Caenorhabditis elegans: one gene and its partner. The protein of the gene in region 2 interacts with the protein of the main gene of each other region in a pairwise test. Each region holds a gene or a part of one and is shown on either strand. Other genes may lie near its edges.

The links.
Region 1: the proteins of swan-1 (region 2) and ugt-3 interact in a two-hybrid assay, tested with the Caenorhabditis elegans proteins (one large-scale study listed by BioGRID).

The regions. Positions count from the first base shown.
Region 1 is NC_003283.11:12,797,797-12,802,345, forward strand, and holds ugt-3 (glucuronosyltransferase), read right to left. Parts: upstream 2,476-4,549; 5' UTR 2,398-2,475; coding exon 2,257-2,397; intron 2,208-2,256; coding exon 1,982-2,207; intron 1,936-1,981; coding exon 1,846-1,935; intron 1,800-1,845; coding exon 1,081-1,799; intron 945-1,080; coding exon 531-944; 3' UTR 512-530; downstream 1-511. Other genes in the region: ugt-6 (UDP-glucuronosyltransferase), read right to left, coding at 129-281.
Region 2 is NC_003283.11:13,803,780-13,809,167, forward strand, and holds swan-1 (WD_REPEATS_REGION domain-containing protein), read right to left. Parts: upstream 3,459-5,388; 5' UTR 3,433-3,458; coding exon 3,160-3,432; intron 2,702-3,159; coding exon 2,495-2,701; intron 2,451-2,494; coding exon 2,343-2,450; intron 2,294-2,342; coding exon 2,158-2,293; intron 2,103-2,157; coding exon 1,744-2,102; intron 1,063-1,743; coding exon 979-1,062; 3' UTR 616-978; downstream 1-615.

The DNA of each region.
Region 1 (4,549 bases), 1.0 Mb from region 2:
TTTTGTACAGATTGATACCTTAACAATAATTTTTCAAAAAGTCCCAGTAGAATTGCAGACGTTATTCGAAGAACAAAAAGTAACGCCACGTTTGAAATCTTGAGTACTTTTTGAATAAAAAAACGTACCACATCATTTCCAGCTCTTGCCAAATGATTTGCTAATTCTGCCATATATTTCATATGACTGAATCCATAAACCGGTGAAATGACTAGAAATTTATAAGAATATGCATTACCGAATAGAGTTGAAATAAACAAAAAAAGTACAATTTGAAGCATGGCAAACAAGAAGAGAGTGTATTGGTTTACCTTCTGTACCTGTACATAAAATATTATCAGCTTCGATTTCTCTTCATTTTGATAACTTACTTTTTTAGGGGTATCAACTGCAAACTAACCAATGGACTACAGACTGTTCAAAATTTCGTTGACAAACAAAAGGAACAATTCCACGGGACTGTTCTATGCATAAATGCACTGATAATGCCCTTTCTACTGACTAGTGAATATTGGAAAAAAATTATTTATTTATTCTTTTTTTAATTTCAATTTTTCGATTACGCTATTGACAACAAAACTTAAGATCTTAAACATCACTAATGCTACAACAGAAATTGTACAAACAACCAATGCTAGACTGTCAAGACAATAAAATTCGATAAAGTTGTATTTATTGGCGTATGGTTCTAAATTATCAACCTGTGCAAATCGAGCCGCAAATTCGCAATGATTTAGAAGTACTTGCTTCGGATCCATTGGTTGATTATGAAGAATATCAGAAAGACGTTTCGAATTCTTTCTGTAATCAGAATTATTGAGAATCATCTGGATCGTCTCCATTAGTTTCTTGCTATCGACAAGATCAAATTTGTCATAGACAATGGCACCACCATGGCGAGCTAACATCTCTGCATTTACTCCTTGATCACTGAATACAGGAACCTGAAAATATACGTTTGATACAAGAAGGTTAGCGGGTGGTAAAACATTTTTATATTCTAATCATGAATCTGGATGAAAAAATATTTCAAAAGTTTACAGGAAAATAGTGAAACCAGAAGTGAATTATCTCACTTACCATAATACTTGACACTCCTGCATATCCAACTTCCATAGTACTTCCCAAACCTCCATGAGTCACAAACAAATCTAATCGACTGTCTGCTAACAGAGCTGGCTGAGGAATCCACTTGCTTAAAACTACGTTTTCAGAAAGTTTATTCTTCAACGTCTTATCATCCTCTTCATATTTCCAGATAAATGTAGCATCTGGCATTCTGCGAAATGCTTCAATAAGTCCAGTTTTGAAATCATCTGGCATATCTGATGATTGAATAACTGTTCCAAAAGACACTAGAATGGTGTTGTTTCTGAGCGAAAGTATTTTGTTAAATTCTTCATCGAGTGTAGTTGTTTTGAATGATTCAATAGTGAAACCTCCAATTTGAATCACTTTTGAAATTGTTGGTGTTGAAAATGATAAGTAAGGATTGGAGTTTGTCAAGAAAAACGTGGAGCTTTGAAGTATTTCTTGCCAAGTTCGGACATTTCCACCAGTTAATCGGTAAGCTTGATCATATTGTTTATCAAACAAAATCCCGAATTGAAAGTGATAACCGGTTAGTCCAAGCATGTCACTTAATCGGTCAATTGCGCTCGATTTCTTCCCATAATTAGACCCCTCTGTTGGTAAGTAATTCAATGGAATAGGTTCACCCACAGCGTATGAAGCTGCTCCACATCGAACTCCACTATAGAGAGGGATTGGTGATTTTAGTTTCAAGAAGTCTCCAAGATCTAACATTGATTATTCACTTTGATTGTAAATTAAATTATTACTTACATAAACCACAAAAATCAAATGCCTCTGATATGTGGGAGTCAAAGTTTTTCGATAGAATCCAACGATGAAGTTCCTTGTCCAAAAGCATTTCTAAAAATTGATGAATGCATTTTTGAAACAAAACTATGAATCTTACTTCTACAAATATGCTCAAACTCTTTGTAAAGTTTTTCTGATGTAATTTTTGCAGAAGAGATTGGGTTTTTAGATCCTTTTGCTTTCCAGAAAAACTTGAAAACACTCGCTTCAGAAGCTGCAGCTTTTTCTTCTTCATCGACTTCATAATTAATCACTTCAATGTTCGGATTCTTCACAATTTTTTTGTGTGCATAGTAATCATAAATTATTGGTTGGAATAAAGTCTAAAATCGAACTTATAAGAAATTTAATATTTAAATAAGTAAACCTTACCACATTATGTCCAGCATCAGCAAGGATGTCTGCAATTCTTCCCATAAATTTCATATGACTGTACCCAAAAACTGGGGAAATAATAAGATAATTGAACCCGAAAGCAACGGGAAAAAATGCTAATAATAATAAGTACCTCATTTTGAGTTCGAGAATTAGACTTCAACATATTCTCTTAATTTTTTTCAGGCATTTTATACCACTCAGACTAAGTTCAGTTGCAAACTTTTCAAATGATCAGCGCCCGATTTGAAACCGTCTCTTGCATTTTAACATTATCTCTCTTTACTTGGAGTGTCTATTTCTATGTTCTCTGTTCTCGATGAAAAATTACAAGAAACAAAAGACGTAAGAAAAATAAAGAAATGGAATGTGTAGTCAGCATTAGAGTATGTATTCATGTAAGTAGTTCATCTCGAAAGTGTCCAAAAATGTTTGTCAATTTAGAGATTTGCCTGAAATTTGCTTTGATAATTTTTATAAGTTTATTATGAAAATCTAGTTTTACTCTGGTAAATCTATGCCTCCAATAGACTTCAAAAACATTGGCTTCACGTATCCAAAACTATCAATTATTGTTCCTGTCTGATGTCTAATACATGGAATTTTTCAAATTTTTTGTTATTCTGTGAATTTGTTGATCAATTGTGACAGTATGAAGTATGACAGTTCTACCTATGTTATTGGGTTTCTACAATTCTTGGAATTATTGTAACCGCGACAACGAAAGTTATTTGTTTATATATTAGGTTGAACCGGAAGTCTTTGTGACTTTTTCAATCGTTTATTTCTCGGAGCAAGAGAAACGACAGAATAATATTTATTTGCTATTATTATCAGCAATGTACTGCCAACGTGTGGGCAACTTATGAAGGCCCTGCTCACAGAACCCTTCCAGGCGCGAGTCGAAATAATGCTTGAGTGCCAATTCGACACTTCCATGGGTATTGAAGGTTCTTTCCCGGAGATCACGAGTCATATCTGAAAACTGTCAGTATGCAGATGGGGCATGGTCTGAAGAATACGGTGGGTGAAGGAAAATCATCCATTCATACCTGACCAGTTCCTGCAATACTTGTTTCGTGACGTAGGGATAAGCGTTGTTTTGTTGAAAGTAGAGTTGCTCGTCCTTCAGGGGTGAACGATTGAATATGTTCCTTAGGTTTTGTGGTTAGATAACTTAAAGGTCCCCATTAACTATTTTGCCCCCAGGAAGCAGTTCCCAGTTGATGGGGCCGTACACTCCCCACCACACTGAGAGCATGACGTTTTTGGGGTTAAGGTCGGGTTTGGCGGCACCCTGTGGGGTTTCTCCTTCTACAAACCACTGGGCACGCGTGTGGTTCTTATCATGGAGGACCCACTTCTCGGTTCCAGTGATGAGTCGGCCCAAACATCGATCGGCCCCATGGAGAGTGAGGGGTGAAATGGAATCATCCACTCAAAAATCATGGTTGGCTTGTGTCGAAGAGTGAGGTATGAATCGACCCATAATTTTCTTCATTCCAAGAGCTTCCCAGCCCCGTACGATGATGGTTTGATAGGATTGAAGTGCGGTTGACAGCTCACGGGAGGTTTGGAAAGGATCCGTTGCCATGGCTTTCTGCAACGTGTCCAAATCCAATTTATGGGGTCTCAGAGTCTTCGAGAGAAAAGTCGTCCTTTTCGAAGTGATGGAACCAAATGTATATAGTATTATAGTGGCGGACATGTCGATGATAAACATCCTTCAGGAGACTTTCCGAATCCTTCATCGTGGTATGAGAGAGAAAAAGGTGCATCGAACCATGTCGGATGTGGATGGCACTAGATAAATACATTGTCGGCTAACTGAACTCAGACCAAAGGGAAAGGAGTGGGGTGATTTTCAAAATGAAGTTCCTTTACTCGTTGTTATACCCTAGCAACAAGGGAACACCAAAGTGCAACTGCGGCTAGCGTTGGAAAAGCAAACCCAGTCACAAAGATTTCCGGTTCAACCTAATATTTTGCAGAAATTTATTTTGTAAGTTTATTCTGGTTCCTGAGAGTTAATACTGATAACTAATTTCAGTAAAACATGGAAGAAGATAGAATATCAACTAATTTTTATTGCGAGTTAGGCGTTTGCAGAACATATGTTGAAATTTTCTTTGTTTAGGTGCTATTTATTTTATAAGTACTATAATTACGTTAATATTATCAGAAATTGTTTCGAAGTTTCATTCTTTGTCGGTGTTTTTTCTAACACGTTCCTAGAAATGAGATCTTGGATTGCCGCAATTATTTCAATAGAAAGAATGATGGCCACAAA
Region 2 (5,388 bases):
CAAAGTTTTAATGGTTCTTAAATGAAATTTTGAACAAAAAATTGTAGAGAAAGTAGGTATTTCAAGAGATATTATATGTATTATTGAAACTAAAACTTGAACTGTTCATAAGAAACAATTTTCTATCAAAAAGTTTGAAAAAACTAGTCGATTAATTCTGAAACAATAAGCAACATTGCTGTCAAGAAATTAGGTTCATATGGCAAACACATGTTTTCAGTCAGTCACGCGGAAACGGTCGGGTGGTCAATATAAAGGTTCATCACATTTCGCAACGTAGGCACAGATGAAAAATGACGTCAATTTTGATGTACATAATTTTTCATCAATACTTTCGCTAAAATGAAAACTCACATTAGCAGACTGTGTCGTCGTCGCGGATGACGATGTGGGTGCCGCTGGCGCGGGCGGAGCTCTCGGTACAAACCGAAAGTCTTCGGCGGTCTGCAGCTGAGACGACCGCTGCGGCTTCACGTTCGGCTGCTGTGTCGGAAGAATTTTCCTGTGAAAAACCAGAAATTAAAGAAATACCAAAGTGAAAATCCATTTTGAAAAGTATAAAAGCCGGAGGAATTTACCGGAGTATTTCAGTTAAAAATAAATATTTTAAAAAAATACAATTTCTGAAATTTTTTTTGAAACCACCTTAAAAAATTTTCGGGTTTCCTGTAACCTTATCACAATGGAAAATGGAAAAAAATAGGATATAAAACAATAATTTTCGGGTGGATAAAACAATTGTGTGTTGGCGTGAGAAAATTGAGGTTTGAAAGAGATCGTGAATCATCATACTGATGCTTTGGAATTAATTCAAATAAGTTGTTCACAACAAAGGCGGAGAAAGTGACTTGAAATCAGAGCAATTGACAAAAAATTATAATTTAAAAACATAAAAACATAACAGGAAATGGAAAATAACGTTAATTGAGAAATGTGAGAAATTTTTGTTAGTTCTCAAACAGAACGCACATCCTCTGCTCAAACTCGAAGAATCTCAAGAGTTTTGTTGAAGCAAATTGCAATCCAGTTACTGTGTACAGGACCCCAATGAATTTGATTGACCTGGAAATTGTATAGTAATGAAAGTTTTGAAACTGGAAATCTCCAACAAAATTTAGGTGACAATTCATAGTTTATGTTTTCTAAGAAACTACGTGCAACAGCTGAACGTAGTATGAAACTTCGATGTTTATGATTCCGGAAAAGCAGGTGGAAAAAAATTCACCCCGAAAACGGAGCCAAGCTAAGTTCGGCATAGAAGAAAAAACTTGGATGTAATTGTTAACTGTTTCAGCAAATGTAATGTAAACATGGTAGAATAAAAACAATCCGCTTCGAAAAACAGTTTTTAAACTCTCAGATCTCAAATATTCCAGTTTTCAAAGTGGCTCATTACTTGCAATTTTTAAGACTGCACCTCTGAGTCCCACTAGTGACATTGTAGAAAATTATGTAAAATTCTAAGAAATATAAGAAAATTTGATGCAAAAAATTAACAAAAAGGGACGCACCTTTTTTACCTTTTTATTCAATTTTCAGGTAAAATGTTCAATGAATGAATGAGATTTTTATAATTAAATTCAAATAACTGCGTGTAAATGTTTTTTTTTTGTAATCGTTAGTGTCAACTTTTGAAAGTTCTCTTTCAGCATTCGTTTTAATTTTCAGGTATATATATTTTTTAATCTCACTACTTTTTGATCTTGATCGGATAAGATTTTAAGTTCAAATTCAAATGCTCACCTCTCCACCAGCCGAATAAGCCAGAATCGGATCATCAACGGGTCTTGGAACCTGCTGCAGATCCCAAATCAGAGCTTGTGAATCGTCTCCAGCAGTACAAATGTGATGTGGACTGTGTGGGGCCCATGCAATTCCGTTCACTGGTCCAGTGTGATTACGGAGTCGACAGAGAATGTTGCATGGCATACGAATGTCAAGAATTTGAACTTCTTGACTGTTCTCGGCAAATAAAGCCATGAAATAAGGTTCTTGTTTGTTCCATGACAGTCTTTGAAGCTTCTCCTTGTTTGGATCTTCATAGACAATTGTCGAGTGGTTTAAATGTCGAAGATCAAACATTCGGGCACTTCCGTCAGCTCCTGGAAACTCGTAATGTTTATAAAAAGATGCAAATACTAGCTAGACAAGACTCACCAACAGTTGCAAAATGATCACGACCGCCATTGATTTTAGCAAATTCGATATCGTGAACAGGCTTGTCATGAGCAATCAGTTGTGTTTTGAGTGTGAATGGAGCTGTCGGCTTGGTCTGCCCAATTGCGCAACCAACCTGAATATTTGTAAACATTTCACTAAATCTTATCAAAATTATAACTCACCTCAACATCATAAATTGTGCAAGTCGTATCTACACTGGAAACTCCAATATACCTCGGCTCCAGCTCGTTCCAGTCGAAACTTGTCAAAGCTGATCCATATTGTGAGTTCTGAAAATTCCATTGAACACTAAAAATTTACAGGTTTAACGTACAGTATTATTGATCATAACTGCGTCTGGATGAACTTTTCCATCAACTACTCGCCAGAGGCGAAGGCAATCTGATGTTGTGGCAATGAGATCAGGGTAAACGTTGTCTGGATCCGGAATAAAACCGACTGCATTGGCTGGGAACTCCATTGGAAAGCTCGCCGTCTCGACAAGCTCGCCAGTTTCGTCTTTTAGTTGTACAATTGATACCTGAAAACGTTTTAATTGGAACTGTTATGTTTCAAAATACATATAAATTTCGTTTTTTTTTTTTTTAACTTTTACATTGGAGTACAGTCTATAGGGTTTTCAATTCAAAATATTCGAAATGTTTTAATATACATACTGAAATACCGCAAAAGGAAAGACAAAAATTATGTTTAAAACCTGAACAGTTCAATTTCGATTTGTTCCGATTTCCAGTTTTTCTAAATTGTGTCTTTGAACTATAGTAAAACTCGACTCAAAAATATAACTCAACTCAAAAATAAGAACGATCGCTGTTTAATCTTGCAGTTCTTATTTTGTAGACAACTTAAACAGTAGATTAGAATTTGCAAAAACCCGTTTTTTAGAATTGCGTTTTTTGTGGTATTTCAGTAAATGGGACCTTATTGACTATGGCCAACATTACCACTCACACGTTTTCAAATTTTTCAAAAACTCACCTTGTTTGCGGCACATGGGTTAACGGACACGTCGGATACTGTTCCCACAGCAAGTCGAAATTTGATATCATTTTTGTTGCTCCATGCCGATGCATACAACTGTTGATCAGACGTGAATTTATAGATCTCACAACGTCGATCACGTCCTCCGATCACAATTTCGTTCTGTCTTCCGATCCCTTGCGGAGCTAATGGTCCTGGTGGAGCTGGTTGTTGTGCGACTTGTTGCATAACATGAGCTTCTCCGTTCACTGCGTGACCATTGGTAGCCATTGCAGGTGATAAGGGTTCACAAGTTTCTGCAAGATAAAACACTGCGTGAGGGGATTATTAGAATAATTGGAAACTAGTAAGCGAACGAGGGAAAGAGCGAAAAAAAAGTGAGAGTAGTAGTTTTCAAATCGAATTCGACAAAACAGAAAGGTTCCAGGGAAAAGACGATCACAGAGAATACGGTAAATCAATAGACGCAGGGAACACGAGAACGAGAAAAATAAAATTGAAAAGTAGAAGGACACAGGAAGAAAATGAGGGAAAAAGAGAGAAAGAGAGGGAAGAACGCACTTTGTTACACTAAATCGAAAACGAATGGAATGGAGGTGGTGGTGGAATGTTGAAGATGAAAAGAAGGCAGTAGAGAGCAGGAGAGCAGCTCAAATGAGACAGGTGAAGTTGAAAAGGGATTCGATTATTTCAACAAGGCAGGGGGGGGGGGGGGTAGATCAAGTTGTTTCTAGGTCATTTTGATGTGATATGACATTATAAATCAGAAAAGAAATGCTAATCAGGTAGTTGTAAAGCTTGAACGATTGCCATGTTTTTTAAAGCACACTACCAAAAACATAAAAGTAAACGACAAACAGATTCAATTAAGTATAAGAAAATTGAGTCCAAAACACCGAGATATGGGCAATTCCTATATTGGGATTTCAGTCTATTCCAGATTAATGCCGACACTTTTAATTTAAATTTGGACAGCCTAATCATAGAGATCGAAAATTTAATTTAAGCGAAAAAATAGAAAGAAACAATTTTAGAGGAGTAAAATTGATCACATACTATAGTTTTGTTTATTGCATTCTGAATTTTTGACAAACATTGGATATTCAAAACTGACTTGATTTGAACTTTTTTGGAGGTAACGCTGATTGGAAAATGAGCTGAAAAAATGTAGCAAGTTTTGGACAAAAATTGTAATTTTCGAAGTTGTCAAGAGGACCAAAATTCAACTTTTGCATAAAAAAAAAGAAGAAAAACTGGAAGTTAGTTCTGAGAAAATTTTTGTTCGGACAATTTTTTTTCCAATTTAACATTATAAAAATGGAATTATTTTGCAAACTTTTCCAAATTTCGAACATTTTCCGAATCTATTTCCAATTTGGAAAAAAACAATGAAAGTTCGAACAAGAACAGAAGAAAATTATCCAAAAGATCACATTGAAAAGTTTGCAAAAAATAGTTAGTGGTCAACTGGGAATACCCGCATTAGTTCACTAATGAGCAACAATGGAATTAGGGAATTAGGAGGAATGTAAAGAGACAGAAACAGTGCGTTGCAGATTGTAACCAATCGATAGTATGCAAATAGTGTAAACTGTGCAGTGTTCGTCTATTCACCGAAGGGGGCCACCGACTAGCTGCACTGGACGAGGTAGTAGGTAGAAATAGGAGAGTTACACAGAGAGTTAGAGACCATTGCGTGAGTGCGTGTGTGAGTGAGTGAGAGAGTGAGTGAGCGAAGCAAAATGAAAAAAGAAGAAACGAAAAGATTCTCTGCGTTACGTGCCGTCTGTCCATCTCGTTTTGCAGAAATGGAGACGCAGAGGTCGGCTAGACGGACATGCAATGCGGCTAGCGGATACGTTGACCCCGAATACTCGGTTGCAGGTGGAAGAGAAAAAATGAAATTACAAGGAGCACATGACGCCAGAAACGGTGCATTATGATGCAAGTTTTCCGGATCTGGATGATCGTAGAATACGTTCCAGTTGACTTTAAAAACACTGAAGCTCCGTGAGAGTTATGTAAAACTGCCCTACAATCTACCTTGATAATTTAGAAGTATTAACTGTAAAGACTGGAACAAGCCATTCAAAAAGAAATCTGATCTGACTGAGCCTGAAATTGTTTAGAAAATCCTGCACATTTTGAATATTTGTTCAGGAGCACCTACGAATCAACGGTTTTATTAGAATTTCAGTAATTTTTAATAACAGTTTTAAAAGCAAC